Linked DNA regions of Macaca fascicularis. The protein of the gene in region 3 purifies or fractionates together with the protein of the main gene of each other region. This does not show direct contact. Links are inferred from orthologs where the notes say so. Each region holds a gene or a part of one and is shown on either strand. Other genes may lie near its edges.

What was found.
Region 1: the proteins of MEPCE (region 3) and CDK9 purify together in Homo sapiens (affinity purification with mass spectrometry; 10 studies listed by BioGRID and IntAct, counting the BioPlex papers as one, with this or other methods). This does not show direct contact. The link is inferred for Macaca fascicularis from reciprocal best matches to the Homo sapiens genes MEPCE and CDK9.
Region 2: the proteins of MEPCE (region 3) and HNRNPUL2 purify together in Homo sapiens (affinity purification with mass spectrometry; 3 studies listed by BioGRID and IntAct, with this or other methods). This does not show direct contact. The link is inferred for Macaca fascicularis from reciprocal best matches to the Homo sapiens genes MEPCE and HNRNPUL2.
Region 4: the proteins of MEPCE (region 3) and LSM3 purify together in Homo sapiens (affinity purification with mass spectrometry; 3 studies listed by BioGRID and IntAct, with this or other methods). This does not show direct contact. The link is inferred for Macaca fascicularis from reciprocal best matches to the Homo sapiens genes MEPCE and LSM3.
Region 5: the proteins of MEPCE (region 3) and SRSF3 purify together in Homo sapiens (affinity purification with mass spectrometry; 3 studies listed by BioGRID and IntAct, with this or other methods). This does not show direct contact. The link is inferred for Macaca fascicularis from reciprocal best matches to the Homo sapiens genes MEPCE and SRSF3.
Region 6: the proteins of MEPCE (region 3) and CCNT1 purify together in Homo sapiens (affinity purification with mass spectrometry; 3 studies listed by BioGRID and IntAct, with this or other methods). This does not show direct contact. The link is inferred for Macaca fascicularis from reciprocal best matches to the Homo sapiens genes MEPCE and CCNT1.
Region 7: the proteins of MEPCE (region 3) and SNRPN purify together in Homo sapiens (affinity purification with mass spectrometry; 3 studies listed by BioGRID and IntAct, counting the BioPlex papers as one, with this or other methods). This does not show direct contact. The link is inferred for Macaca fascicularis from reciprocal best matches to the Homo sapiens genes MEPCE and SNRPN.

What each region holds. Positions count from the first base shown.
Region 1 is NC_088389.1:16,211,075-16,215,434, reverse strand, and holds the start of CDK9 (cyclin-dependent kinase 9), read left to right. Parts: upstream 1-1,556; 5' UTR 1,557-1,671; coding exon 1,672-1,763; intron 1,764-2,224; coding exon 2,225-2,306; intron 2,307-3,043; coding exon 3,044-3,134; intron 3,135-3,472; coding exon 3,473-3,639; intron 3,640-3,739; coding exon 3,740-3,911; intron 3,912-4,069; coding exon 4,070-4,218; intron 4,219-4,360. UniProt on the Homo sapiens protein: Protein kinase involved in the regulation of transcription.
Region 2 is NC_088388.1:11,331,960-11,335,671, forward strand, and holds part of HNRNPUL2 (heterogeneous nuclear ribonucleoprotein U-like protein 2), read left to right. Parts: intron 1-1,249; coding exon 1,250-1,418; intron 1,419-3,712.
Region 3 is NC_088377.1:49,007,578-49,011,879, forward strand, and holds the start of MEPCE (7SK snRNA methylphosphate capping enzyme), read left to right. Parts: upstream 1-1,308; 5' UTR 1,309-2,536; coding exon 2,537-4,207; intron 4,208-4,302. UniProt on the Homo sapiens protein: S-adenosyl-L-methionine-dependent methyltransferase that adds a methylphosphate cap at the 5'-end of 7SK snRNA (7SK RNA), leading to stabilize it.
Region 4 is NC_088376.1:152,442,894-152,447,195, reverse strand, and holds the start of LSM3 (U6 snRNA-associated Sm-like protein LSm3), read right to left. Parts: upstream 2,901-4,302; 5' UTR 2,860-2,900; coding exon 2,839-2,859; intron 273-2,838; coding exon 162-272; intron 1-161. Other genes in the region: XPC (DNA repair protein complementing XP-C cells), read left to right, coding at 3,149-3,248. UniProt on the Homo sapiens protein: Plays a role in pre-mRNA splicing as component of the U4/U6-U5 tri-snRNP complex that is involved in spliceosome assembly, and as component of the precatalytic spliceosome (spliceosome B complex).
Region 5 is NC_088378.1:135,077,849-135,082,284, forward strand, and holds the start of SRSF3 (serine/arginine-rich splicing factor 3), read right to left. Parts: upstream 2,985-4,436; 5' UTR 2,867-2,984; intron 629-2,866; 5' UTR 627-628; coding exon 421-626; intron 1-420. UniProt on the Homo sapiens protein: Splicing factor, which binds the consensus motif 5'-C[ACU][AU]C[ACU][AC]C-3' within pre-mRNA and promotes specific exons inclusion during alternative splicing.
Region 6 is NC_088385.1:55,529,699-55,534,164, reverse strand, and holds the start of CCNT1 (cyclin-T1), read left to right. Parts: upstream 1-1,628; 5' UTR 1,629-1,686; coding exon 1,687-1,847; intron 1,848-4,466. UniProt on the Homo sapiens protein: Regulatory subunit of the cyclin-dependent kinase pair (CDK9/cyclin-T1) complex, also called positive transcription elongation factor B (P-TEFb), which facilitates the transition from abortive to productive elongation by phosphorylating the CTD (C-terminal domain) of the large subunit of RNA polymerase II (RNA Pol II).
Region 7 is NC_088381.1:4,135,413-4,139,124, reverse strand, and holds part of SNRPN (small nuclear ribonucleoprotein-associated protein N), read left to right. Parts: 5' UTR 1-26; coding exon 27-29; intron 30-885; coding exon 886-1,037; intron 1,038-1,841; coding exon 1,842-1,953; intron 1,954-2,405; coding exon 2,406-2,558; intron 2,559-3,308; coding exon 3,309-3,447; intron 3,448-3,712.

The DNA.
Region 1 (4,360 bases), on a different chromosome or scaffold from region 3:
TCGGGGACAGAGAGGCCAGACTGGGGGGCCAGGTCTCAGGATCCACCCGCAGAGGGCTGGAGAGGAGGGGGCAGATTGAAGCGGGGCAAAGGAGGCAGAAAAGACGGCTTTGCCGGAGGCTGTCCTTGGGCAGAGCTGGAGGGGGAATCTGGGGGCCGCTGGAGCCAGGAAGATGCAGGCGAAGGGATGGGCGCGATGGGGGAGGGAGATGGGGGGGTGAGTGGTGAGCTCCCGCCTGCATAAGGACAGCAAGCCTCCCCAGTGCTCTCCTCCTGGCCCAACCACGGATAGCCTGAGTCAAGAGAATCCCCTTCACAGTCAGACACCCAGCTTTGTCGCCGTGTGACCTTGGGCAAATGACCTCACCTCTGAGCCTCAATGTCCTCTTCTGCAAAATGGGTTAGTGATCCTGACTATGGGGCTGTTGATTCAGGATTCGGCGGGAACGCCCAGCACTTCCTGAGCACACAAAGAGTGCTGAGAAAATGGTAGCTGTTTTTTGCGATTATTGACCCGGGGCCTGATCAGCTCTGGCGCGACTCGGCGAAGGCGCGAGTCCTGCGGGTCCCATCCCTGCCTCCTGGAGAGCCAGGCTCCAGCGATAGAAGGCCCGGGCGTTGCTTGCTCGTCGCCTCCAGTGCCGCCGCGCCCCCTGGCGGCCGTCGGTTGCCATGTCAACGGAGGGTGGCGGGGACCGGGGGAGGCGGAGGCGGGGGCCGTTTTCTCCTCCCAGGGCCGGAGGACGCTCCCTCCGCGCCTCCCGCCTTCGCCTCTTGGGGGGGCACTCCGAGCCGGGGAGGAAGGGGCTCTCCGCGGCAGCCGGCATGTGGGGGTAAACTGAGGCACGCGGCTGGGCGCCCGCAGCCAGGTGCCGAGCGCGGGGCCCCACCTCCGAAGGCGGAGGAGGGGCCGCGGGCGGTGACGCGCCGAGGGCGGCCGGCGGACAGCGAGCGGGCGGGCGGGCGGGCGGTGGCGGCGGCGGCAGGTGCGGCCGCGGAGGGTGGGAGGGAGGAGGGCGGGGGCGGGCGGAGGAGGAGGGGAAGGCGAGGCCGGGCACCTCCCCCTTTATAACGCGCCCCCTCCCGGGCTCTCGGGCCGTCTCCTAGTCGGCTCTTCCCGTCTCGCCCCCTCGCCCGGCCGCCCCGGGCCCGGGCCCGGCCAGGGAGCCCCCAGGCCGCGGCTCGGGGGCTGCCCCCCCGCCCGCCGCCCCGCGCAGCCCGGCGGAGGCGGCGCCGTCGGAGGAGGAGGAGCAGGGCACTGCGGCTGGCCCCGGATCGGGCGCCAGAGCGGCAGCAGCTTCGGCAGCAGCGGCGGCCCGGGCCCATGCAGCGGGACGCGCCACCCCGAGCCCCAGCTCCGGCGCCCCGGCTCCCCGCGCCCCCGATCGGGGCCGCCGCCAGTAGTGGCGGCGGCGGAGGCGGGGGCAGCGGCGGCGGCGGAGGCGCCTCTGCAGCTCCGGCTCCCCCTGGCCTCTCGGGAACTACAAGTCCCAGGGGGCCTGGCGGCGGGCGGCGGGCGGAAGAGGCGGGGTCGGCGCCGCGAGGCCGGAAGTGGCCGTGGAGGCGGAAGTGGCGCGGCCGCGGAGGGGCCTGGAGCGCGGCGGCGGCGGGACCCGGAGCGGGAGCGGCAGCAGCAGCGGCTGGGGGCGGCGGCGGCGCGTTGGAGGCGGCCATGGCAAAGCAGTACGACTCGGTGGAGTGCCCCTTTTGTGATGAAGTTTCCAAATACGAGAAGCTCGCCAAGATCGGCCAAGGCACCTTCGGGTAAGGCTGGGCCCCTCGGGGCCGGGAGCCGTGGGCCTGCACCCCTAGGGCGGACGTCGGGATGCCCCGGGCCCCGCCCGAGTTGGTAGAGAAACCGTCTGTCCCCGGGCTTGCCCACTGGTCTTTAGGCCGCGCCGCACCCCGCCCCGGCCTGAAGGAGCCGGCTGGTGGGGAGGAGCCTGAGGCCGGTGGTGGGGGCGGGGAGGGGCTGCAGAGAGGCGCCCGTGAGGGGAACGGGATCTCTCCAAGAGACGCCCAAGTGAGGAGAAGGGACTGAGAGAAGGAAGCAGAAGCTCCGAACGAGACAGGGTGCCGGGTGGCGGGGTAGCCGCGTGCCCTGGGTACTTACCCCAGCCCCGCCCGGGAATCTTTTTGCTGCTGCCCCTCCTCCGGTAGTGGGGGAGGGGCGGGCCCTGCGGAAATCGCCTGATGAGCTCTCGGGTCTCCCTTTCCGCCTGCAGGGAGGTGTTTAAGGCCAGGCACCGCAAGACCGGCCAGAAGGTGGCTCTGAAGAAGGTGCTGATGGAAAACGAGAAGGAGGGGGTGAGTACGGATCGGGCGTGCGGGCCAGCCGTCTAACTGCCCAGGACCCCGGGTCGGTTTTCCACCCTGCTGCTTCTAGGAGTCTCAGGTTGAGATTTAATTTTTTTCGTAGTAGTTCAGAAATTTCCAGGGAATTTGGCCTCCACCCTAAAACTAAATGCTTCATTCTTAGGCAGTTATGGGTGAGACCGGGAGGGGGAGTTGATGCATGCATCGTGTGCACTTTAGTTCACGAAGTTAGGAAGCCTTTAAACACCTTTTTTTAGTGTTAAATTTTGCTTAATGTTAAAGAAAGATACATATGCATGCAAATTTTTGAAAAGTGACTAATACTCAGTTATTTAATGTGTTTAAAAGGAGCGGTCCCTCCACCCCATCTTAGCTCAAGTACAACGTCCCATAAACCTTCCTTTTCCTGATGTGCTTTAGCGAGGACATTTTTGAATCGTCATGTTTGTTGCCAACGAAACAGCCATAGAGCTGAAGTTTGAAGGCTGAAACCGCCGAGCATTTAGTGGCTAATAGCAAAGTATTGCTGTTTCAGTTTGTTGTCTCAAATTATCTCCTTGAAGTGTGCATGCTCCTACTATATCCATTTTACAGGCAGAGCTTCTGAGACAGCTGGTTTCAGAGCCCATGATCTTGCTCTGTCTCCCAACTTGCCTCTCAATATAGACCCCAGGGCTGGGCTCTGTACTGCGCTCACTCTTGACCACTTTCCCCTCTCTCCCACCCAGTTCCCCATTACCGCCTTGCGGGAGATCAAGATCCTTCAACTTCTAAAACATGAGAATGTGGTCAACTTGATTGAGATTTGTCGAACCAAAGGTAAGTTGTTTGGATCTTATGAGGAGATGACACTTGTAGCCTAAGGTTTTGTTCGTAAAGTTGGAACTAGACCCACCTAAACTGCCTCCTCTTAACTCAGATGGACCCATGGTGACTGCTTTCTCTGGTCCTCTTTCATCGTAGCTGGTGCTTCCTCGGGGTCTGCCCTGGCCCAGAAGAGGCACTCAGAAAATATTTGACCAGTGAAGGAAGGAACAGACAGATGCTCTGGAGGGCTTGGGTGCCCATGGGTTGGAGCAGGAAGAAAGAAACTGGTTGTGGGAAAGTGTGTTGGGTGTGGCTTTCTTGACTTTTTCTTCCTTGTATTCCTGCCTCAGCTTCACCCTATAACCGCTGCAAGGGCAGTATATACCTGGTGTTCGACTTCTGCGAGCATGACCTTGCTGGGCTGTTGAGCAATGTTTTGGTCAAGTTCACGCTGTCTGAGATCAAGAGGGTGATGCAGATGCTCCTTAACGGCCTCTACTATATCCACAGGAACAAGGTGGGGGCGAGAGCTGGGAGGAGGACCCAGGCTTGGGCTGGCCTTGGCTCCCACTCCCGGGTGGATATCACTGAAGGAGCCACTCTTGCCCTTCTTGCAGATCCTGCATAGGGACATGAAGGCTGCTAACGTGCTTATCACTCGTGACGGGGTCCTGAAGCTGGCAGACTTTGGGCTGGCCCGGGCCTTCAGCCTGGCTAAGAACAGCCAGCCCAACCGCTACACCAACCGTGTGGTGACACTCTGGTACCGGCCCCCGGAGCTGTTGCTCGGTGAGGACTCCCGAGCGGGCCGAGGGGGGTGAGGGCCAGGCATCTACCTGGCCCCCGCCCCCCCACTGCCAGGGCTTCTTGAGCTGCCGGCCCTGGGGCATTGAGTCTCAGGAGGCCTCCGGGCTCAAGGGGCCCTCCTGGTGCGCTCTTCTTCCCAGGGGAGCGGGACTACGGCCCCCCCATTGACCTGTGGGGTGCTGGGTGCATCATGGCAGAGATGTGGACCCGCAGCCCCATCATGCAGGGCAACACGGAGCAGCACCAACTCGCCCTCATCAGTCAGCTCTGCGGCTCCATCACCCCTGAGGTACGGGGTCCCGGTCCCCCGGCAGAGGAGTGGGGAGTGGAATGGAGGGAGCGCTCCTCTCTGGAAGGGAGGCTGGTTTGGTGACAGGGCCTGCCCTTGAGAGCCACACAGGCTATGCGCCAGTCTTGGTTCCATCAGCCAT
Region 2 (3,712 bases), on a different chromosome or scaffold from region 3:
AGGCTCTAAAACATGTAATAAAAACAATGGAAAGAGTTGGAACTCATTTGAATTCCTGGCTCCACCACATTCTGGTTTGTAATTTGGATAAGTCCTTTATCCTCTGTGAACCTCAGTTTCCCTGATGAGCAAAACAGGATAATACCTGTCACGTAGTTTGAAAAGTTAAAGAAGATCATGTGTATTGATCCCTCATCTCATGTCTTCTGAGTTACCAAAGATACTGAGTCTTTTTTTTTTTTTTTTTTTTTTTGGAGATGGGGTCTCGTTCTGTTGCCCAGGCCGGAGTGCAGTGGCGCGATCTCGGCTCGCTGCAAGCTCCACCTCCCAGGTTCACACTATTCTCCTGCCTCAGCCTCCGGAGTAGCTAGGACTACTGGCGCCCGCCACCATGCCTGGCTAATTTTTTGTTTTTGTTTTGTTTTTTTTTTTTTTTTTTTTTTTTTTTTTGAGACGGAGTCTCGCTCTGTCGCCCAGGCTGGAGTGCAGTGGCCGGATCTCAGCTCACTGCAAGCTCCGCCTCCCGGGTTCACGCCATTCTCCGGCCTCAGCCTCCCGAGTAGCTGGGACTACAGGCGCCCGCCACCTCGCCCGGCTAGTTTTTTTTTTTGTATTTCTTAATAGAGACGGGGTTTCACCGTGTTAGCCAGGATGGTTTCGATCTCCTGACCTCGTGATCCGCCCGTCTCGGCCTCCCAAAGTGCTGGGATTACAGGCTTGAGCCACCGCGCCCGGCCAATTTTTTGTATTTTTAGTAGAGACAGGGTTTCACCGTGTTAGCCAGGTTGGTCTTGATTTCCTGACCTCATGATCCACCTGCCTCAGCCTCCCAAAGTGCTGGGATTACAGGATTACAGGCTTGAGCCATCGCACCCGGCCTTTTTTGTTTTTTTGAAGATGGAATATTGCTCAGCCACCACCCAGGCTGGAGTGCGGTGGTGCAATCTCGGCTCACTGCAACCACCATCTCCCGGGTTCAAGCGATTCTCCCGTCTCAGTCTCCCGAGTAGCTGGGATTACAGCACCCGCCATCATGCCCAGTTAATTTCTGTATTTTAGTAGAGATGAGGTTTCACCATGTTGGCCAGGCTGGTCTTGAACTCCTGACCTGAGATGATCTGCCCACCTTGGCCTCCCGAAGTGCTAGGATTACAGGCGTGAGCCACTGTGCCTGGCTGATACTGATTCTTTTGGTTAAATTTGAGTGATAATTTTCTTCCAAAACATCAGTTATTCCTCCTGTTCTTAGTGTAATGTGTACAATTCTGGCCAACGGCGGAAGCTATTACTGTTCAAGACCTTCTCTCGGAAAGTGGTGGTGGTTGTCCCTAATGAGGAAGACTGGAAGAAGAGGCTGGAATTGAGGAAGGAAGTAGAGGGAGATGATGTGCCTGAATCTATAATGCTGGAGATGAAAGGTGGGTGTCTTAGTCCATTTTCTGCTGCTATAACAGAATATCACAGACTTTGTAATTTACAAATGTAATAGAGGTTTATTTCCCTCATGGTTCTGGAGGCTGGGAAGTCCAAGAGCACAGCACTGGCATCTGATGAGGTCCTTTTTGCTGCATCATTCTGTGGCAAGAGGGCAAATGTGAGAGAACTTGCTTTTATAACAAAGCTGCTCTCACGATAACGGCATTAATCTATTCATGAGGATGGAACCCTCATGACCAGCTCACATTAAAAGTCCCACCCTTTCAACACTGCTCATTGGGGATTAAGTTTCCACCACTTGTACTTTGGTGGGACATAACTCAAACCATAGCAGTGGGCTAAAATTGTACAAGTTAAAGAGATTTTATCCCTGGTCAGTGCACACCTTATTGAAGCCTCTTAGCACCTGGAGTGACACTCTACATCTAAAATATAAATCTAAAGAGGAACTTAATGGTTACAAGCATTTGTAGGTGAATGAATGAGCAGAGAGAAGCAGTAACCCCTTGACTCATTGTTTTCTTGGTTTGTTTTGGTTTGGTTTGGTTTGGTTTGGTTTTGAGACAGAGTGTCACCCCGTTGCCCAGCTTAGAGTGCAGTGGTGTGATCTCAGCTCACTGCAACATCTACCTCCTGGGTTCAGGCGATCCTCTTGCTTCAGCCTCCCAAGTAGCTGAGATTACAAGCATGTGCCACCATGCCTAGCTAATTTTTGTGTTTTTAGTAGAGACGGTGTTTCATCATATTGCCCAGGCTGGTCTTGGAACTCCTGACTTCAGTTGATTTGCCTGCCTTGGTCTCCCAAAGTGCTGAGATTACAGGCATAAGCGGCTGCACCCAGCCGCCTTGACTCGTTTTGAAAAAGATACAGAAAGGGAAATAGTGAGCCGGGCGCGGTGACTGATGTCTCTAATCCCAGCACTTTGGGAGGCTGAGGCTGGTGGATCACAAGGTCAGGAGCTCACGACCAGCCTGACCAAGATGGTGGAACCCTGTCTTTACTAAAAATACAAAAAAAATTAGTCAAGCATGGTGGTGGGCACTTGTAATCACAGCTACTTGGGAGGCTGAGGCAGAGAATTGCTTGAACCCGGGAAGTGGAGGTTGTAGTGAGCCGAGATTGTGCCACTGCACTCCAGCCTGAACAGAGGGAGACTCCCATCTCAAAAAAAAAAAAAAGAAGAAGAAGCAAGGAAAATAGTGACTGTAGGGGGATTTAAACTCAACGGAGAGGCTTCTGTGAATCAGTTATTTGTTAAGTAAATATTTCTGGTACATCTACTGTTTGTCTATATTTCTTACTCTGCTTTTTTTTTTTTTTTTTTTTTTTCTTTTTTTTATTGAGACGGAGTCCTGCTCTGTCGCCCAGGCTGGAGTGCAGTGGCCGGATTTCAGCTCACTGCAAGCTCTGCCTCCCGGGTTTATGCCATTCTCCTGCCTCAGCCTCCCCAGTAGCTGGGACTACAGGCGCCCGCCACCTCGCCCGGCTAGTTTTTTTTTTTTTGTATTTTTAGTAGAGACGGGGTTTCACCGTATTAGCCAGGATGGTCTCGATCTCCTGACCTCGTGATCCACCTGTCTCGGCCTCCCAAAGTGCTGGGATTACAGGCTTGAGCCACCGCGCCTGGCTGCCTTTTTTTTTTTTTTTTTTTTTTTTTTTTTTTTTTTTTTTTTGAGAGTCTCCCTGTTGTCACCTAGGCTGGAGTGCAGTGGCACGATCTCGGCTCACTGCAACCTCTGCCTCACAGGTTCAAGCGATTCTCCTGCCTGAGCCTCTTGAGTAGCTGGGATTACAGGCACCCGCCCAGCTAATTTTTGTACTTTTAGTAGAGACGGGGTTTCGCCATGTTGATCGGGCTGGTCTCAAACTCCTGACCTCAGGTGATCCACCGCACCTCGGCCTCCCAAAGTGCTAGGATTACAGGTGTGTGCCACCGCGCCTGGCTGCAGGGAGAGATTATTGTGGTTCGAATTAAAATATAGCAGTTGGAGTGAATGATCTCATTGGTGTAACTTGATTTCTGGTATCACATTATGTTTATGTTTTGTTTGTTAATTTGGCTGAAGTCTGTAATGCAATACATAAGACAGTAATGTCTACACAAGAAAGAAATATTAATATTTTGATTGATCCTTCTACTATTCCGTTAAAATGTGATTTTTTTTCCCCTTGCTGCCTTTAGTTCCTGACATCCCACCTACTCTATCAACTGTTTGCTCTTCAAATTCTGATAATTCCCCAGGCATGGGAACTGGTTTGCACATCTATGAGCCA
Region 3 (4,302 bases):
AAAAATACAAAATTAGCTGGGCGTGGTGGTGGGCGCCTGTAACCCCAGCTCCTCAGGAGGCTGAGGCAGGAGAATCGCTTGAACCCGGGAGGCGGAGGTTGTAGTGAGCGGAGATTGCGCCACTGCACTCCAGCCCGGGCGACAGAGCAAGACTGTCTTTTAAAAAATAATAAAAAATAAAAGATAATTTTTAAAAAGCCCCAATCCCAAATGCACCTTGCAATCCAAAGGGAAGAAGTTTTGGGGAGAAGTTCTTCCCATTTGGGGGGTGCTCCCATTTTCCTCTCTCTTCCCTCACCCCTTATTCTCTCTCAGGGATAGGGGTTCAGTTCGGAGGTGTCCCTGAGCCACACGTCCTCGCCTCTCCCCGTAAACGGTGGCGTCCCCCTCTCTCTTTCCCGTTCCTTCCCTTCCTTCCTCCCACCATGAGGGAATCTCCCCTCCACTCCCACTCCCGCCAAGGCACCGTGATCCTCATTCTCACTCATATTGTCAGTGCCCGTCAGGAGACTGGGCTGTTTTTGTCTGTTTCTTGGGGACGACAGATTCTGAGGAAAAAGGGCCAAGAGCTGGTTGTCGCCCTGAGAAAGTTTCTCCTCAGGCAACGGGTGCCAGGACTGGCGGCGCCTAGCACCTTCACCTACAACCAGAAACTAGCCGGCTACCTTCAGGAGCAGGGAGGACCTAAAGGCGAGGTGCAAAACCAGCTGGCGCAGCGACTCCGCAAGCCTCTCACACCTCAACCCAGGTTTCCCGCCACCAAGAAAAGGCACGAGGACGTCCTGCGCGCTAGCTCCACCCCCGGGAGGCGCGCTCGCGGAGTCTGAGGCGCATGCGCAACTGGAAACAGCGTCTGCGTTTCCGCGGCTGAGGTAATTCCGCCATCTTTCACCCGAACGTCCCGGGAAAACTACAAATCCCAGAATCCTCTTTGGTGTCACATATTTTTAGGCGGCGGCCGCAGCGCCTGATTGTTCTTGAAGCACATCTTACTAACTTTTCTCTGTTTCAGACTGCCTTTTCCTCCCTCTTTCCGTTCCCTGATTCCTCCTCTTCCTGCTGGTCTCCTTCACGCCCTCACTTTAGGATTTTGAGACTTTCCGGGACCCCACTGTCACCCCTGTCACCCGCTCCTCGGCCCAGCACTCCGCTGGCAGGAAGACCGGGCTGCGAATCTCCCCGGGAAAACGCCGTAGATTCGCTTCTTCCTCATTGGCCGAAGCGGGGGGGGCGGGGCCCAGCGCGGACCGAACCCCCGTCCCCGCCCACACTCTCTGGTATATAAGTCGGCGCGGCGCCGCGGCGGGCGTTTGGGGAGGCCCGTGAGCTGACGGGCCAGTGAGCGAGCGTCGGGAATGGGCGGAGGCGTTGGGGTCCGGGCCGTGGGTGTGGAGGCGGAGAGGAAGGCGTGGTGTGGCGTCTCCAGGTGATTGCGATTGGGGGAAGGCAGAGGAACCAGAGAACGACTCAGCCGTTTCGGGGGAAGAGGAAGTTGGACAACACCGGCTGTTTTAGTGCTTTTTATTTTTCCCCAATTCAGCAGAGAATATTTTCGAGGGGGGTGAGTTATAATGACCTATCGCGTTTTACTGAGCCCAGTTCCACTCCTGCCCTTCCTCGGCTTTGTAGGGTCTCTCTGCTCCTTCGGAAGCGCTTCTAAGAAGATGGGCAGAGGGGGGAGGTGTGCTACCAACAGCTCATGAATAATTCATGAGCACCGCCCTTCGTCGGGAAGCCCTGCCCCTCCGGATCGCGCTGACGCACGCTGCGTTTACCAAACTTAAGGAAGCGACGTCACAGGCCCTACCCCTAAGACGGGAGGCGGGGCGCCACCTCCAGCACGTGCTGCCTGTACCCGCGCAAGCCCAAAAGGGTGTGCGCAGGCGCTGCTCACTAGGGGGAGGAAGGAGGCGGGGTGGGGAGGTTGTTGGATTTAGAGCCGGGTGGAGACCGCTGAGACTCATTCCTCAGGAACAAGGGTCGGGTGTCAAGGAGACCTTTTCACACCAGGTCCCGTCCCCCGCCTACGGTGGGTGGGATCGCGCGGCAGAGACAAAGGAGATCAGTAGGGCCGGACCTAGCTGCGCAGGGAAGTAGGGTGTCAGTTTGGGGTGGTGGGCTTTTGCGGGGGCTGTGTGGGGGGTTATATTTAAACTCCCAGAGCCGTTAAGTTGGTTCGTACTCCGATGCGCGCGCAACCAGGGTGGTGGCGGAGTGCGCATGCGTGGTTCCGGGGCGAAGGGAACGCGCGCTTGCCGTGCGCGCTCGCGGCGGGGTGGTAGTGGCGGAGGAGAAAGGGGTCGGCGCACGCGCGGTTGAGTGCTCGAGTAGTTCGGGTGTCGCGGGCATCTTGTTTTGGTCTCGCGGGCGAGTGGGGCGCACTTCGCGGGGAGGCGCTTGGGCGCGAGACTAGGCGAGAAGAGCAGAGCTGCGCGCGCACTCGGGAAAGGGGGGGAAGGGAGCAGGGTCCAGGCAGGGGGGGTTAAGCCCCCTGATCCCCCTCGTTACCCCGACTGGGACGGAATAAGGGGAGGAAATGATCGAGATGGCGGCGGAGAAGGAGCCGTTTCTGGTGCCGGCCCCGCCGCCGCCGCTCAAAGATGAGTCGGGCGGAGGGGGCGGCCCCACTGTGCCACCGCACCAAGAGGCCGCCTCTGGGGAGCTCTGCGGCGGGACGGAGCGTGGTCCGGGTCCTTGCGCGCCGTCTGCGGGGTCCCCGGCCGCTGGGGTCGGTCGAGAGAGCCCCGGGGCCGCGGCCACCCCCCCCGGTGGTCCCCAGGCGCAGCAGCACCGAGGAGGCGGCCCCCAGGCGCAGTCGCACGGGGAGGCCCGCCTGTCGGATACCCCGGGGCGAGCCGCTCCCCCGGACGTGGGGGAGGAGCGCCGGGGAGGGGGCGGGACAGAGCTGGGTCCCCCTGCTCCTCCTCGACCCCGCAATGGCTATCAGCCCCACCGGCCACCTGGGGGGGGCGGGGGCAAGAGGAGAAATAGCTGTAATGTAGGGGGAGGTGGGGGAGGCTTTAAACATCCGGCCTTCAAGAGGCGCAGGCGGGTGAATTCGGACTGTGACTCTGTGTTACCCTCCAACTTCCTCCTGGGGGGCAATATCTTTGATCCCCTAAACCTGAATAGCCTCCTGGATGAGGAAGTGAGCCGCGCCCTCAACGCAGAGACCCCTAAGTCATCCCCCCTTCCGGCCAAAGGGCGAGATCCAGTGGAGATCCTCATCCCCAAAGATATTACTGACCCGCTCAGTCTCAATACTTGCACTGATGAGGGCCATGTAGTTCTTGCTTCGCCACTCAAGACTGGTCGGAAGCGGCATAGACACCGGGGACAGCACCACCAGCAGCAGCAGGCAGCCGGAGGGAGTGAGAGCCACCCCGTGCTGCCCACAGCCCCTCTCACCCCCTCACTCCACGGGGAGGGCGCCTCACAGCAGCCGCGGCACAGAGGCCAGAACCGGGATGCCCCCCAACCCTATGAACTCAACACAGCCATCAACTGCAGGGATGAAGTGGTGTCTCCGCTTCCATCTGCTCTACAGGGTCCCTCAGGCTCCCTATCAGCCCCTCCAGCTGCCTCAGTTACCTCTGCACCCCCATCTTCCTCCTCCCGACATCGCAAACGTCGCAGGACTTCCAGCAAGTCGGAGGCAGGGGCTAGGGGTGGAGGCCAGGGTTCCAAGGAAAAGGGCCGAGGGAGTTGGGGAGGCCGTCACCACCACCACCACCCACTGCCTGCAGCAGGCTTCAAAAAGCAACAGCGCAAGTTCCAGTATGGGAATTACTGCAAATACTATGGGTACCGCAATCCTTCCTGTGAGGATGGGCGCCTTCGGGTGTTGAAGCCTGAGTGGTTTCGGGGCCGGGACGTCCTAGATCTGGGCTGCAATGTGGGCCATCTGACCCTGAGCATTGCCTGCAAGTGGGGCCCGTCCCGCATGGTGGGCTTGGATATAGATTCCCGGCTCATCCATTCTGCCCGTCAGAACATCCGACACTACCTTTCCGAGGAGCTGCGTCTCCCACCCCAGACTGTGGAAGGGGACCCGGGGGCAGAGGGTGAGGAAGGGACCACCACCGTTCGAAAGAGGAGCTGCTTCCCAGCCTCGCTGACTGCCAGCCGGGGTCCCATCGCTGCCCCCCAAGTGCCCTTGGATGGAGCGGACACATCAGTCTTCCCCAACAATGTTGTCTTCGTCACGGTAAGAGGGTCCAGAGGCTCTTGGAATAGGGGTCAGGTGTGAAGATGAGATTAAACGGGAATGTGGCAGGGAAGGTTATGACCCAGTTCCTCAAA
Region 4 (4,302 bases), on a different chromosome or scaffold from region 3:
TGTGAATACATGCAGCTTCATCTGGCTTATGGAAACATGGGTGATTTTCCACTACCCTCTCTTCCTTCAAAATACCTTTTCACTCTGGACAGGTTTTACATTTCAAGGGAGTGGGGGTGGGAAGGAATCTGATTTCAAGGTAACTTGATAAATTTACTCACATGTAATCTGCCTCGAAGCTCTCGGTCATTTCTCATCTTCACATAAATTCGCTCATCTAGGCTGAGCCTGATAAGATCCAGGGGCTCCTCTACAGTGTTGGTAGTTTGTTGCTGATAACAGAAACAGGTTTAGTAATATAGTACTAGAGATAAAGTAGTGCTTAAATCACTGCTATGCTGTATGACCATGTGCAAGTTATTTAACCTTTTTCTGCCTCAGTCTCCTAATCTGTAAAATGGAGATAATAGTGTCTACCTAATACTGTTTTTATGAGGCTTAAGTGACATATATGAAGGCTTAGAACAGAACTTTTCACATAGTATGTGCTATATAAATGTAGATTAAAACACGCATACATAAGAAGGAGTTACACAGCAAAATAATCATGACTATACTTTGTTCCCTCAAAATCCAAACTGCCTGACCCGATTTCAGGGTATAGGGTCTTAGGAACTTTAGCTTTATCTCAAATATTATGTAATCATAGGAAAAACACTCACTTAATGCCTACCATATACTAGTCAGAATGCCAAGTAGAGGTGTAGGTTTATGGGAAGATTATGAATTCAGCACAGGTTGAGGTTAGGCTGCCAACTGGCCAGTAAGATGAATATTTAGTAGCCAGAATAGAACACTGGTTCAAAGCACTGGCTTAGCCGGGCATGGTGGCATGCGCCTGTAGTCCCAGCTACTCCGAGGCTGAGGTGGGAGGATTGCCTGAGCCTGGGAGGTGGAGGTTGCAGTGAGCCAAGATGGTGCCAACAAGCAAGCAAGCACTGACTTTGGAGTCAGGCAGTCTGGGTTCAACTCCTGGCTGTGACCTGACACTTATGAACTGAGATTAAAAATCATGCCATCTGTAATTCTCAGATTCTTCATTTGTAATTGAGAAAGCCACAACCTTCCTTCTGGATTCTTATGAGGATGAAACTAGTTAATGCATTTAAAACAGTGCCAGGAAAGCAGAAAATATTAATACTTAGAAACGGTTCCTTTTGGCTGGGCGTGGTGGCTCAGGCCTGAATTCCAGCACTTTGGGAGGCTGAGAAAGGCAGATCACCTGAGGTTAGGAGTTTGAGACCAGCCTGGCCAACATGGTGAACCCCGTCTCTACTAAAAATACAAAAATTAGCCAGGCGTGCTGGCACGTGCCTGTAGTCCCAGCTACTTGGGAGGCTGAGACAGGAGAATCGCTTGAACCAGGAGGCAGAGGTTGCAGTGAACTGAGATCACGCCACTGCACTCCAGCCTGGGCGATAGAGTGAGACTCCATCCAAAAAAAAAAAAGAAAAGAAAAGATTCCTACTAATATTATATTATTAAAGAACTGCTGGAAACACTGGTTTTAGAGGTCAGGGCTAGGATGACTTGGGGTCACCCACATGGAAGGGAGGGTTGCAGCCATTAAAGAGTTAGATGATTCAAGGAGAGCTTCTTTAGTAAGCACACAAGGCCAGTGGAGGAAGGTAACTGAATTCGTAACAGGCGCTAAAGATTCAAAAGGCCCGATGAGAGAAAAAAAAATAACCTAACTCAACTGGTCCCTATGTCCCTCAGTTCAACAGGTGTTTGTTAAAGGATCTGATAACCAACTGTTAGATTACAATGATACAGAAGTCACAATCTCCACCCTCAAGGAGCTCATTCTAATGTGGATAGGCATATGAATAATTATAATACTGTAAGAATATGCACATGACAGAGCTCTACTGCTACCTAAGCCTCTGTCTGGGATGCCCACTTTCTGTTCTTTTTCATCCTGTAGCTTTATACATTGGCTTTTAAAAGAGGCCTCCTCTGATCATCTAACTCATTCACTCAAATATTTGTTGAGTATTTCCAGCACTGTTCTAAACCCCAAGGACAAAAGAATGAACAAAACAAAATGCCTACTGTTATGGCACTTACATTCTAGTCAGGAGAGATACACATTAAACAAAGATGCATACATTTAATATGAAAAAATAACGTTCTATGAAGAAAAATGAGGCAGGGTAAGCAGAGTAGGGGGAGTGCTATTTGGGCAGAAGTCCTCTCTGAGGAGGTGAGATTTCAGTAGAAAGTTTAAGTTGTAGCATGATCTCCAAAGATATTTGAGGAAGAAAAAGACCAGGTGAAAAAGCTTCTAGGACCATCTGTTATTCTGCATACCAGTTCCTTGTTTCCTTCATAGCACATCACAGTTCCTATAAATCTTACATATTTATATTTATCTGTTCTCCTCGCGAATATAAGCTCCAAGTCATGGCAAGGATCACTTATATATCGATGTCAGTGTCCCTGGCTCTTAGAACAGTGTCTAACCATACAAAGCTGATGTTCACTCTCTCTGCTGAATGAGTAAATAATTGTTGTGCTCAGTAATAACAACTCCTAACTTTATTATCTGGCTTTCTATTGGAATCCTGACAGCTCCGTGAGGTAGGCACGCATAATAATTTACAGATTTAAAAAAACAAAGCGAAGAGTGTGATGAATAGTCATCAGGTGGCCTTCTAACGGAAAAGACCTCAGGGCCTGCAGCAAAATTCGGACAGGGGTGTTTACGGAAAGGATGGGGCGGATTAGGCCGTGTGACTTGGAAAGAAGAGGCGCGACTGGCCATTTTTCCTGCGTTTGGAAAAAGCAGTTTAGTACAAGAAGCGGCGCCGAGCCACCGCCTTAAAATTCACTCACCTGGTCTACGTCGTCCGCCATGTTTCAAACCCTGCGCCCTTTCCCGCCTCTCGCGAGAACACAAGAGCAACGCCGAGCTCCGGAAACGTGATGCTACAATACACCGGAAATAGAAACCTGCTGTGCTCTTGCCTGCTTCCCGCGGTTTTTTAGTGGCCACGGGTATGGGGCGGAGCTTCCTTTGGGGGCGTGACTAGGCCTCCAACGAAGGGGCGCGGCCAGACGCGCCCGCCTCGGGGCGGGGCCTGCGTTCTAACGCATCGCGGCCTGGTGCGTCACTCGCGAAGTGGATTTTTCCCCGACAAGCAATATGGCTCGGAAGCGCGCGGCCGGCGGGGAGCCGCGGGGACGCGAAACGCGCAGCCAGAAGTCCAAGGCCAAGAGCAAGACCCGGCGTGAGGAGGAGGAGGGTGAGAGCGTGGCCCAGCGGGCTTCGCGGGAGACTCTGCCGGTGGGCGGAGGAGGCCCAGAGGCAGGGGCGGCGGGAGTCCAGACGCGGAGGCCGGGTGGAGGTTGCTGCGCGCGTTCCGCGCAGTGGGGGCAGCACGGCAGGCCGCGGCCGGCCCTCCCCGCTGTCCCTGCGCCTTTGTCCTCTGCACCCAGAGCGGCTTCCCGTGAGCCTCGCCCGACCCAAGCTCCTGCGTAGCTTCTTTCCCGCTCCCCGTTGTCCAGAGGATACAGCGCAGATGTTCAGGGTTGAACGCGGAGAAGGCAGTTATTTGTGTCCCAGGAAAACGGACGGACGGACCAGGACGTAGAGTGATGCAGTGTGCTGACTCCCGAATGATAACTTCAGCTGAGTCTCGCCCAGAGTTCCACAGTGGGATCCCACCTGACTTCCCCTCGTGGATATTGGATAGGCTTCTTACATTTGTCGTGGACAGTGCAGAGCTCATGGTCTTCCCCTTCAAATCTATGGTTTCCTCCGTTTTTCCAGTCCCAATACTTGTTATAAAACAAAGTCCACCTTTTTCTTATGTGCACACATCCAGTCCCGTCAGCAAGTCCAGTCAGTTCAGCCTCAGACTGTATTTCAAATTTGTCCACTTCTCTTCATTTCCATGGCCACAACCCCTGTCCAAGTCACCATCACCTTTCAGTTGAGTGACTGCAGTTTCCTCTTGACTGGCCTCCCAGCTCTGCATCCAGCAACGCAAATAATCTTTAAAAAAAAAAAAAAAATCATGCCATGCTCCTGCTTTAAACTCTCCTTGGTTTTCCATTGCTCTTAGTTTAAAACCCAGTTGTCTTATCCTGGCCTGCAAGATGCTACGTGTTTTGGCTCTTGCTACCTCTCCTGTTTCTCCTACCACTTGTTTCCTTGCCAGATACCCTCCTCATTGGCCTCCTTTCTCTTCCTCAAATATGCCAAGTTATTTCTTGAGCCTTTTCCTTTGATATTCCTTCGGCCTAGAGTGACCCCCCACCATGGCTTTTGCCAGGGCTGATTTCTTCAAATCTCAA
Region 5 (4,436 bases), on a different chromosome or scaffold from region 3:
GCAGAGTGGCTCACACCTGTAATTCCAGCACTTTGGGAGAGCGACCCAGGCAGGCAGACCACCTGAGGTCGGGAGTTCGAGACCTGCCTGGTCAACATGGTGAAACCCTATCTTTGCTAGAAATACAAAAATCAGCCCCGCATAATGGCACATGCCTAGAGTCCCAGTTACTCAGGAGGCTGAGGGAGGAGAATCACCTGAACCCAGGAGGCGGAGGCTGTGGTGAGCCGAGATCGTACCACTGCACTCCAGCCCAGGTGACAGAGCAAGACTCTTCTCAAAAAAAAAAAAAAAAAAATCCCAATTGTATCTAAAGATACAATTGGCCAGTGATTGGGAAAGCCAGATCTAAGAGCCACATATCCTGTACATTTTAAATATGAAAAATACAAGCAATACATTTGTATCAATTTAAATCACCTTCCATCTAGCTCTCGGACCGCATCAGCTGCATCTCGGGGATCTTCAAATTCAACAAAAGCAAAGCCGGGTGGGTTTCTAGCAACCCACACACTTCGGAGTGGTCCATAGTAGCCAAAAGCCCGTTCCAATTCGGTCTTGTTGCCATTGTTTCCAAGATTGCCTACATAAACCTTACAGTCCAATGGACAGGAATCACGATGCATTTCTGTAATGAAAAATACCAAAAATATTCATTTATCTAAACATCTACAGTTAAAACCACAGATCCTTAGAAAGAATTCCATTATGGTGCACAAAAGAGTTTAAGGTAGCATGTAAAGAGAAAAAAAAACTTAATTCCAAAATGCTAGAAACAAACAAGAAATGTTACTGCTAAGCACCTGTTCCCCCATAACTTTTACTCTCCTGACCCTCAGGAAGCCAGCAATTAGTGAAGGAAAAAACAGCTTCCTTGGAACGTGAGAACACTGGAGGAGCATTTACCATCATCTGGGCCGTGAGTTAAAGACTTAACCTGTTATTTTATTTAATCCCCCAAATAAAGCATTTCTAGAAAAGTATAAAAGAGTTCTGTTGGGGACTCAAAACCAAATACAACAATGATGAAGAAAGCTAGTCCTTTAGGTTACACTACCAGAAAAGGGATTCAAAGTGCCTACATAAGCCAAAACGTATCAGCTTTAATAAAAAGCCAACTTTTCATTTAAAAAAAAAAAAAAGCCCATGGACCGGGCTCACGCCTGTAATCCCAGCACTTTTGGGAAGCCGAGGCAGGCGGATCACGAGGTCAGGAGTTCGAGACCAGCCTAGCCAATATGGTGAAACTCCGTCTCAACTAAAAATACAGAAATTAGCCGGGCATGGTGGCAAACACCTTTAGTCCCAGCTACTCGGGAGGCTCAGGCAGAACAATCGCTTGAACCCGGGAAGCGGAGGTGGCAGTGAGCCAGATCGCGCCACTGTACTCCAGTCTGGGCGACAGAGCGAGGTTCCATCGTCAAAAAAATAAATAAATGCATGCCTATTTTGGTCATTTGAAATCATAGGAACAAGGCTGCTATCACATGTCATTAAATAGACCAAAGTCTTATGCAGTAAGAATTTCTCAAGCAACGAGACCAACTTTCCAGTTTTTTTTTTAAACGTAAGCTCATAGCAGCACTTATTCACAGTAGCCAAAAGGTGTTAACCCAAATGTCCATCAACAGAAACGGATAAGCAAAATGTGGTATAGACATAAAATGAGTATTGTTCAGAATGATGTACTGACAAATACTCCAACGTTGGAAAATCTTGAAAACATTACGCTAAAGAAGCCAGACATAAAAATACACGATTCCATAAATACTAAATATCTAAAATAGCTAAGTTCAGAGAGAGAGATTAGTGGTGGCTAGTGACTGGAGGAAGTGGGACAGGGAAACTGGGAGTAAGGGCTCAATGGGTAGGAGTCTCCTGGGGGCGGTGGGGGGTGACGGAAATGTTTTGGAACTACGTGTAAGTGATGATTACACAACACTGATTATACTAAATACCACTTTGGGATAATTTTACTTTAATAAAAAGTTACAAAGAGGTATTTGCTACTCAAAAATTCACTGCACTTTGGGGACTTATTTTTTTGTTTTTCCTTGGCGGACTTACATTTGATTAAGCTTTATTACTTAGTCGTCACTTCGGCGATGAATCTGATAAACTTGTAGACCAGTTTCAATTACATAAAAACCATATACTCAATAATTTAGCTGAAGTGCTTTCCATAAACACCACGTTCTTACTCTGGGCTTGTCTAATTAAAATATCCAGTCCAGACACATCCTACTTGCTGTGACCACACCCTGTGCCCAGGAGTTCTAAGATAAAACCACTGGTGAAAATCTTTAAAAACACTGCTGGCATCTGTCTTAAGCCTACATTTTAATGGGAGGCGGCTGAAAGAACGAATCTTAATAAGTTCAAGGAAGATCGTTCGGTCTTAGAAAAAAGTGATTAGATTCAGGCTGCAAAAACTGAAACTACATGAAAGTAAAAGTGATTACGGGGGCCATTTAACATGAATTAGAAGGTCCAGTCTTGGTTAGTGACTTTACAAAAGCATTCCGAGGAGCTTCCCAATTAAATGATGGGCCCAAAAAAAAGGCGCCATAAACATAAAAAGGCTGCGACCTGGAATACAACTCGGCTATCGGTCCCCTTTGTGGCTCCCAACTCCCGGGTAACCCCCTATCCTGGCTCATCACCCACTGAGGAATATAAACACCTCCACCCCAAGACTAGGAAACCCTCTGATGGGCCGGGAACCCCCGCCACCGCCCCGTGCTGAACGTCACAAAATGGCGGCGGCGCCTCTTTGTCTCAATCTGGCGCCGCCATTGGGCCTGGCTCCTCCTTGGTACGGTTAAACTCCACTTCCACCTCACTCCCTCTTTCGCTGGTCTCTTACCGAGATCTAGGGTTAAGAAATGCAGCGGCTCAAATCCACACGCTCCGATGGGTCTTCCTGCTTTCCTCCGACCCAACACCCACCAAAGCTCTCGCTCACCCGGCGTCCACGAAATGGCGGACCACCGCTTTCTCCTCGCCTTTATTTATACGCCATACTGGAATCACATGATTGGACGGACTCGCCCAATGAGAAGCAGAAGAGGCCGTGACGTAGTGGCTACAAACGCAGCGAGAGCCGCGGTTGCTGGGAGCGCGCTCTGGCGGTTGCGCCGGGTGGGTGGAGAAGTGCGCCGGCGCGCGCGCTCGTTGTAACAGGCCTGGCGCTCCCTCGAGCGTTCTTCCTAGTGTGTCGACCTTCAAGTTACCCACAGACCCCTCTTCCTAACCTCCAAATGGGCTGGGACTTCATAAACAGCACCGTCCCCGTCACGCCCAAACACTAATCGGAGCCGTTGGCTCCTAACAAGATTAAGAGATGAATTAATTAAGTGCTTCATCCTTGTGAGCGGTTAGGCTGGACCTAAGAGCATCGCGTTTACAAACAGGTCACGGAGCTGTTTGTGACCCAGCTGGCACCAGACTGTGGCCGCCTAGATTCCACCCTGAAGGAAAAACCTGGTTTGAAAAGTTTGCCCAACTCTTGCTGGTTTCTCGCCTCTCACGCAAACTTGCAGGACTTGGCGCTGACAGCAAAGGAGACCGGTCAGGTGACCTGGAAACTATCACCTTTAGCAAACACCGGGAAAAGGAAGTTTCTGAAGAAGATTGAATGTAAATTGTGGGCCCCCAAGCGAATGCCGGGAGGGGTATCTCGGGCCTTTCTCCTAGCAGCCCTTGCACTGCCTGGCATGTATTTTGTCCGGACCACTTCCCTTAGGAACACAGAGCCACAAGAATAATTAACTCTAAGGGGAGAGAGACTGTGATAAGCTTAGAAAAATCACCAAGGGCCGGGCGCCGGGCTCACGCCTGTAATCCCAGCACTTTGGGAAGCCGAGGCAGGCGGATCACTTGAGGTCAAGAGTTCAAAACTAGCCTGGCCAACATGGTCATTAGTTCAAAACCAGCCTGGCCAACATGGTGAAATCCCGTCTCTACTAAAAATACAAATATTGGTCGGGCGTGGTGGCGGGCGCCTGTAATCCCAGCTACTTGGGAGGAGAGCAGAAGAATCACTTGAACCCAGGAGGTGGAGGTTGCTGTGAGCTGAGATCCTCCCACAGCACTCCAGCCTGGGCCACAGAGCGAGACTTCGTGTCAAAAAAAAGGAAGAAAATAAAAATCACCAAGATTTCCTGAACAGTTCAGCTAGTCTCCTGCCCCCAAATATACCCCCACCCTAAACCCCTTTCAGTCTAGTCTGACGTATTGCTAAATTTACTTGTTATATCTGCTCTAAAAAAAAAAAAAAAAAAATGAGAAAAAGGCTGGGTGTGACGGTTCACGCCTGTAATCCCAGCACTTTGGGAGGCCAAGGCGGGCCCATCACCTGAGGTCAGGAGTTCAAGACCAGCCTGGCCAATATGGTGAAACCCCATCTCTACTAAAAACACAAAAATTAGTCCGGC
Region 6 (4,466 bases), on a different chromosome or scaffold from region 3:
TATTATAAATACTTTTTACTCATTAAATCTTTACTCCCTTTCACAATCTAAAACATAGGTATTATCACAGAAAAGAGGCATAGAGAGGTTAACTATCTTGCCAGCACCAAACAGTTATCAGACGCTGGAGCTGGGATATATCCGTTTTTTTTTTTTTTTTTTTTTTTTTTTTTTTGAGAAGCAGTCTTGCACTGTCGCCTAGGCTGGAGTGCAGTGGTGAGATTTAGGCTCACTGCAACCTTCGCCTCCCGGGTTCAAATCATTCTCCTGCCTCAGCCTCCCGAGTAGCTGGGATTACAGGCGTGCGCCACCACACTTGGCTAATTTTTGTATTTTCAGTAGAGACGAGGTTTCACCATGTTGGCCAGGCTGGTCTCCAACTCCGGACTTCAGGTGATCCGCCCGCCTTGGCCTCCCAAACTGCTGGGATTACAGGCGTGAGCCACCGCGCCGGCAAAGGAGCTGGGAAATATCTTGACAGAGGGCAGGAATTTGCTAATCTCTGCAAGTGAGGGGTAGTGGTGGAGGCTTTTCACACTCAAGGGGCAGTATTAGTTCACCCATTAGCAAACGTACTTAAAAATTACCTCTTGAGAGTTCCGCTGAATAAATGAAACAGTATATTTAAGTCAGTATTGTGCATGGGACATGTAAGCTCTTAATGTTATTAATTTCATTTTATTCCTTTAAGTTGGATCACTGCGGCGAAACGTGAGAATGTTTTCATGAATTTGGCTACACATTAAAGCGACCTCTCCAAATGGGTTGTCGTATTTTACATTGCTACCAACAATGTAACAGCCTTCTAGTTGCTTTATGTTCCCATATACGAAAGAGCCCCACCATTTGATTCTGTTTTTCAGTTTCTGACAACCTCACCTACTTTCTCTTTCAAGTTCATCTGCCCCATTTTTATTTTATTTATTTTTTAGACGGAGTCTCGCTTTGTCACCCAGGCTGGAGGCTGGGGTGCAGTGGCGCGATCTCGGCTCACTGCGACCTCCGTCTCCCGGGTTCAAGCGATTCTCCTGCCTCAGCTTCCCGAGTTCCTGGGACTACAGGCGCACGCCACCACGCCCGGCTAATTTTGTATTTTTAGTAGAGACCAGGGTTTCGCCATATTGACCAGGCTGGTCTCGAACTCCTGACCTCGTGATCCGCCTGCTTCGGGCTCCCAAAGTGCTGAGATTACCGACGTGAACCACCGCGCGCGGTCCATCTGCCCCATTTTATATCACCACTGCAGTCACAAACTAAGTTCTCCTAAGAACCACCAAGCGGCGCGTGGGCGGGCGCCTCATACCACTACAATTGCGACCTCACAACCTAACCCCGGGCGCCAACGCTCAATCCGGTTCTCGCGGGAAGATTCATGGTTTTTAAGCGAGAACTTCTAAGCCCACGCCACCTCCCAAGGGTCACGTGACGCGCCTGCGTCCTCGCCTCAAGGTTTTTTTCTCGTCGCATATTGGCTGTTAACTCGGCTACGGGGTGTCGCGAGGTGCATTCCGGAAGTAGGTCCTTTGACTTTTGCTTTCTTTACGGAAGAGAGTCACAACCCGGCGGTCGACGCTTAGCGGAAGTTCGTCAAGTCGCAGTTGCCCCCGCACAGCGGATGTGGGTCGCTACTTAGGTGACGCTGGGAAGTGTTTGCAGCCTCCGCCGCTGCCTTCTGGTTGAAGCATTATGGAGGGAGACAGGAAGAACAACAACAAACGGTGGTATTTCACTCGAGAACAGCTGGAAAATAGCCCATCCCGTCGATTTGGTGTGGACCCAGATAAAGAACTTTCTTATCGCCAGCAGGCGGCCAATCTGCTCCAGGACATGGGGCAGCGTCTTAACGTGTATCCTTGCGGCCTAGGCCTTCGGCCTTTGAGTTGGTCCCGCCATGCTCTGGCGTCTAGGTCTCAGGCTCTGGTGGGGGACGAAAGTGGGGAAGAAGGTGGGCAGAAGCTGGATGTCTAGTTGGGAGAGCCCACGATGGGGCGGGCTGAAACTCAGTTCGCGCTAGGGAAGCGAGGCGGAGTTGATTTCCCGCTCGCTCACCCGTGCCACCAACCTTGCTGGGCATTCGTATCCTTCCCGGCTTCGTGTTTTAACCAGCCCTTCCAACTCTCTCTTCATTGTGTTCTGATCGGCTCTGGTGACGTTAAGTTTCTCATTTTCCGCTGTGCCCTAGGGGTTTGGGTCTGGCAGAGGTTTCTCTGTTGAGGGCTGCTTCCGAAACCTAGTGTGTAAATTTCGAGAAATTCAGTACCTGAAAGTCTTATAAAGGGTGGTCTAGAATTAATGCCTCAGCCTTGGTCCAAAATCCATTCCTCATCTGCTAGCTGTTTAAGTGACCTGTCAAATTCTTGGTCGTCTTGTCTATAAAATGGGATGATACCTCTTGTGTTTGATTCTGTGTCCATCACAATGCTTTGCATTAAGATGCTCAATTAGTAGCTGCTGTTTTATAGAATTTCAGAGGAAAGATGTTAGTTTACGTTTGTAGGGGTTACCCACGAATCTAATGTTTTAAATCGTTTACAAAATACTGGGTCCTTAAGTTACTTAGAGTGGTGGTGTGTATTTCATTTTCTTTCTATTTCAAAAATGAGGTAACGGCCGGGTGCGGTGGCTCACACCTGTAATCTCTGCACTTCTGGGAGGCCGAGGCGGGTGGATCACCTGAGGTCAGGAGTTCGAGACCAGCCTGGCCAACATAATTAAACCCCTGTCTACTAAAAATACAAAAAATTACCCCGGCTTAGTGGCGGGCAGCTGTAATCCCAGCTAGTCAGGAGGCTGAGGCAGGAGAATCGCTTGAACCCGGGAGGCGGAGGTTGCAGTGAGCCGAGATCGCGCCACTACACTCCAGCTTGGGCAACAATAGTGAAACTCCGTCTCAGAAAAAAAAATTAAAAAAAAAATGAGGTATCCTCTCCCACATATTTTTGTTTGTCAGGAAATATACTTATTTTGTGGTGGAGAAAACTTGTATAGTTTTAAAGTTCTTTCCACTCTGTGTATGAAAATTTTCTTGGGTGCAGCTTCTATTTAAATGTGTGGCTGACAGTAATGTTTGTATCTTAAGGGTGTGTGCATCTCAAAATGGGTGTCTTTTTTATCGCCAGTTTGTTTCCTGCTGATGTCCAGATGTGTTTCCTAAGCATCCTATCAGTACGGAGTAAATCTTTTTGTTCGAAATTCTATTTCAGTGTATCCTTAAAACGCTTTCCTTTTTGTATGTGTGTTGTCATTAAGGTTGTCAGCCAGGCGCGGTGGCTCGCACCTGTAATACCAGCACTTTGGGAGGCCCAGGCGGGTCGATCACTTGAGGCCAGGACTTCAAGACCAGCCTGGCCAAAATGGTGAAACCCCGTCCCTACTAAAAATACAAAAATTAGCCATGTTTGGTGGCGAGTGCCTATAATCTCAGCTACTGGGGAAGCTGAGGCAGGAGAATCGCTCGAATTTGGGAGGCAGAGGTTTCAGTGAGCCAAGATGGTACCAGTGCACTCCAGCCTGGGCGACAGAGCGAGACTCTGCCCCCTCAAAAAAAGGCTGTTGTAATTTGGGACTGCATCATCTCTCTACCCCATATTGTCTACTGAAGTTTTTAGAAGTAAGGCATTTACAAGTTTTTTCTTCTTCTTCAGTTAATGAATTATCAGATCATTTCAGATGTTTCCTGTCCCGTGGATCACCACATGAGAAGGCTTGGTTGCCAGAGAGAAGTGGAACTGAAAATAATTTAGGCCGATTGTGGTGGCTCATGCCTGTAATCCCAGCACTTTGGGAGACTGAGGCGGGCGGATCACTTGAGGTCAGGAGTTCGACACCAGCCTGGCCAACAAGGTGAAACCCCATCTCTACTAAAAATACAAAAATTAGCCAGGCATGGTGGCCCAGCCGGTAGTCCCAGCTACTTGGGAGGCTGAGGCAGGAGAATTGCTTGATCCCAGGAGGTGAAGGTTTCAGCGAGCTGAGGTTGTGCCACTGCACTCAGCCTGGGTGACAGAACGAGACTCTGTCTGAAAAAAAAAAAAAGAAAGTAATTTAGTTGATGGAGTTTAGCAGGTGAGAGAGGTAGTGGAGACATACCTATGGGCCAGATCAGGGTGGGCGCTGTAAATCATATTAGATTATAGATATCTGCCACCATGCCTGGCTAATTTTTGTGTTTTTAGTCAAGGAGGGGTTTCGCCATGTTGCCCAAACTGGTCTCAAACTCCTGACCTCAGGTGATCCACCTGCCTCTGCCTCTACCCAAAGTCCTGGGATTACAGGTGTGAACCACCGTGCCCAGCCAGGCCTTATAAATTGGTTTTTTTTTTTTTTTTGGAGGTGGAGTTTTGTTCTTGTTGCCCAGGCTGGAGTGCAATGGTGTGATCTTGGCTCTCCGCAACCTCCGCCTCCCGTTTCAAGCGATTCTCCTGCCTCAACCTCCCGAGTAGCTGGGATTACAGGCATGCCCCACC
Region 7 (3,712 bases), on a different chromosome or scaffold from region 3:
ACATTGAATTTGGTGGAACAGCAATCATGGTAAGCTGTACAATAAGGCTGAGGGTTGAAAACGTGATGTAAGGGCTGAAAGAAAGAGTTTGCCAGCATGTGCAGTGATTTTGGGTTCTGAATGTTAGTATACATCCATGGATATAGATTCTCATTGCACTGAGTATCAGCGGGAGATGAGCTGATTTTTTTTATTTTTTTCAGACGGAGTCTTGCTCTGTCTCCCAGGCTCACTACAACCCTGGGTCCAAGAGATTCTTGTGCCTCAGCCTCTTTATTAGAGACAGGGTTTCACCGTGTTGGCCAGGCTGGTCTCAAACTCCTGACCTCAAGTGATCCACCCACCTCGGCCTCCCAAAGTGCTGGGACAGGCGTGAGCCACTGTACCTGGCCGTGAGAAATGTTTTATGATGTGAGAAAATACAGGAGTATTTGGTCATGATTCCACCCGTGGTGAAGGACTATCCTGCAGATGATGGACTCTCAGGTCAGATTACAATAGAAATAAAGAGGACTTTGAAAATGGAAGGGTTTTGGCATTAATAGTACAGAGAAAAGCAGTCTGGAGAGAGAGAACACCCTAATCATTGTGGTTTGGTTTAGTTAGGGGAGTGGACAGTTTACAGCATGCATTGTCTAAGAGAAGAATAATCACCCCTAAGGAGGTGAAAATTGGTTCTTGAGATGTGAAAAAATACTTCATAATCCTTCGTGGTCCTCCAGAGACTCATACTAAATATGGAAGAATGTTGGTGAAAAAGTAGGAGAGAATATTTGTTTAGTTAAGGAAACCAGGCTTGGATTATATAAGGGCGGAGAAGAAACAGAAGATTAGAAGACTAGGGTGTTGGCAACCTGAACATGACTCTTGTCTTACTGCTTCCAGACTGTGGGCAAGAGTAGCAAGATGCTGCAGCACATTGACTATAGAATGAGATGTATCCTACAAGATGGCCGAATCTTCATTGGCACCTTTAAGGCTTTTGACAAGCATATGAATTTGATCCTCTGTGATTGTGATGAGTTCAGAAAGATCAAGTAAGCTGATTTGGGTAAATGGGGGTTGGACGCAGAGGCAGTGGGAAAGGAAGGCCAGAGCTGGAGTAAGGGATTTCCAAGGGTAACTGAGGTAGGTAGGGAAGCTAAGGTAGAGCCAGTCTATTGTTTCACCTCTTGACCTGATCTCTGAATTAGGTCAGAGTCTGCATATAAACTCTTTTAAGTTTGTGAGACAATCATGGATTTATTACTGGGAATAAAAGTGTAGTGCTCAAAATATTAAGTTATATTTATTTTTAAAATTGAGAAAAATGCTATTGTTAATTAATTGGTTGGCTTCTGCAGCAGTCTTAGACCGAATAAATCTGGGTTGAAATAGAGAATAATAATTGCTCTTCACGGTTGAGGAGTTGGGATATGGTTGCTATTTGTTATCCTCTCTTTGCCTATTACTGTTCGCATTATTTCAGTTGTGTCATCCTGTCATTATGATTTAATTATTTAAGTAATTTTTTAAAGAAATTTCCATTTTAATATGGAAACCGAAGTTTCAACTTTGTTTTCCTTAAAAGGCGTTTTACAAAAGAAATTCGTCTTGTTGTAGTGTTAACATCAAAGGAACATTCTGTAAAAGACTAAAGTTAGATCAGAAAACAGCTTTACTATTTACCCTTTTATATTAACTGTTTACAGATTTTTTTTGGTTTGTTTTTCAGTGATAACTTAATATCTGTTTAGCATCGGTTGCCTTAATTGATACTTGAGGTTGTATAAATATTTTGATGAGTGAGTAATCTAGGGGTCACTAAAATTATCTCACTAAAATTTAATTCTGATTTGTAGGCCAAAGAATGCGAAGCAACCAGAGCGTGAAGAAAAGCGGGTTTTGGGTCTGGTGTTGCTGCGTGGGGAGAACTTGGTATCCATGACTGTGGAGGGGCCACCCCCCAAAGATGTAAGGAAGATGTAGAGCAGGACAGAACTCTAATTTGCAAGGACATCATATTATGTGAGATGTCTGAAATCACAGTACAGCACAGACACAGTTTAACATGGATTGTCAAATGTGCCAAGCACTTAGTATCAATTGTTGGTTGCCTATGCTATTTGGGATTAAGGGTTTTTTGGTGAATTATTCTGTGTGCTGGGCATTACCTAGGTGAGGGTAGGAGTTGCTGATTCATGTTTGCTTGGTATGTTTATAAAAGAGCTGTTTTCACAATTTGACAAATAATGTGCATTTTATCCACAAGATACCTCCATGGTATACTTGCTTGTTCATTTGGATACAGAACTAATACGAGATAAATGTCTGGGAAAATGGTGGAGAGAAGTGATCTCTGATGCATAAAAATACTGAGAACTTGTAAATTGTTTGATTTTAGGCTATACATTTTCTTGTTTCAGACTGGCATTGCTCGGGTACCACTTGCTGGAGCTGCTGGAGGCCCTGGGGTTGGTAGGGCAGCTGGTAGAGGAGTACCAGCTGGTGTGCCAATTCCCCAGGCCCCTGCTGGATTGGCAGGCCCTGTCCGAGGAGTTGGGGGACCGTCCCAGCAGGTGAGGAACCAGCGGAGGGTTTTATATTGGGAGAATGTGACTAAGCCAGAGGCCGAGGAGATTTAAAAACCTGAGTGTACATGTCATACTATGTAAAGGGCATATGGTCTAGGAGGAACCAACGGACAGATATACAGGAGGAAGGGAATAAAACTAGCTACTTAAAATGGTCATTGGGTGATTAAAATTACCCGAGTTACTCTTGGTAAGAGTAACTTGCCACTAGTGGTGAGTGAACGGAATGCCTGGATATACCTCAGTTGAAAAGATCAAAGGGCTTTGTGGATGTCAGTGTACTAAGATTAGTTTTTAAAATATGGGAATAGGCAGGTGCGGTGGCTTATGCCTGTAGTCCAGCACTTTGGGAGGCCACAGTGGGCAGATCACTTGAGGTCAGGAGTTGGAGACCAGCCTGGCCCACATGGTGAAAACCCCGTCTCTACTAAAAGCACAAAAACCTGCTGGGCCTGGTTGGGGGCACCTGTGATCCCAGCTACCCAGCAGGCTGAGACAGGAGAACCGCTTGAACCCGGGAGTGGGAGGCTGCAGTGGGCTGAGATTGCACCATTGCATTGCAGCCTGGGTGACAAGAGTGAAACTGTCTCAAAAAAAAAACATGGGAATAACGAGAGAAGTACAACATTGCAACAGTTGTTTGTATCTAATTGGCCATTTTTCTCATTTATTTTCTGTGTTTGAATAACGTGAAGGTATGTATCACTTTGTTGGTTTCTCCCCTTGCCTTCTCAGGTAATGACTCCACAGGGAAGAGGCACTGTAGCAGCTGCTGCTGTTGCTGCCACCGCCAGCATTGCTGGAGCCCCAACACAGTACCCACCAGGACGGGGGACTCCGCCCCCACCTGTTGGCAGAGCAACCCCACCTCCAGGTAAGGGATTGGTGAACATTAAGACGAATTTGAATCTCTGACTAGAGAGAGCTTACTGATTTAAGACACAGCCTGAGGGCCTAACTCAGAATCCAGGGCATATGCTTCCTCCCTCTTCTAGGTACTGGTGTTTAATGAAAGACGTAGGAGAGTAATTGTCATTTAGAAATCATTTGACTCTTATCACTGTTGTCTGGCCCATTTCTTTAGGGATTATTTGGGCTAAATTCTAACAGCTTTTCTAAGCCGGTTTATAAGGCCTTTA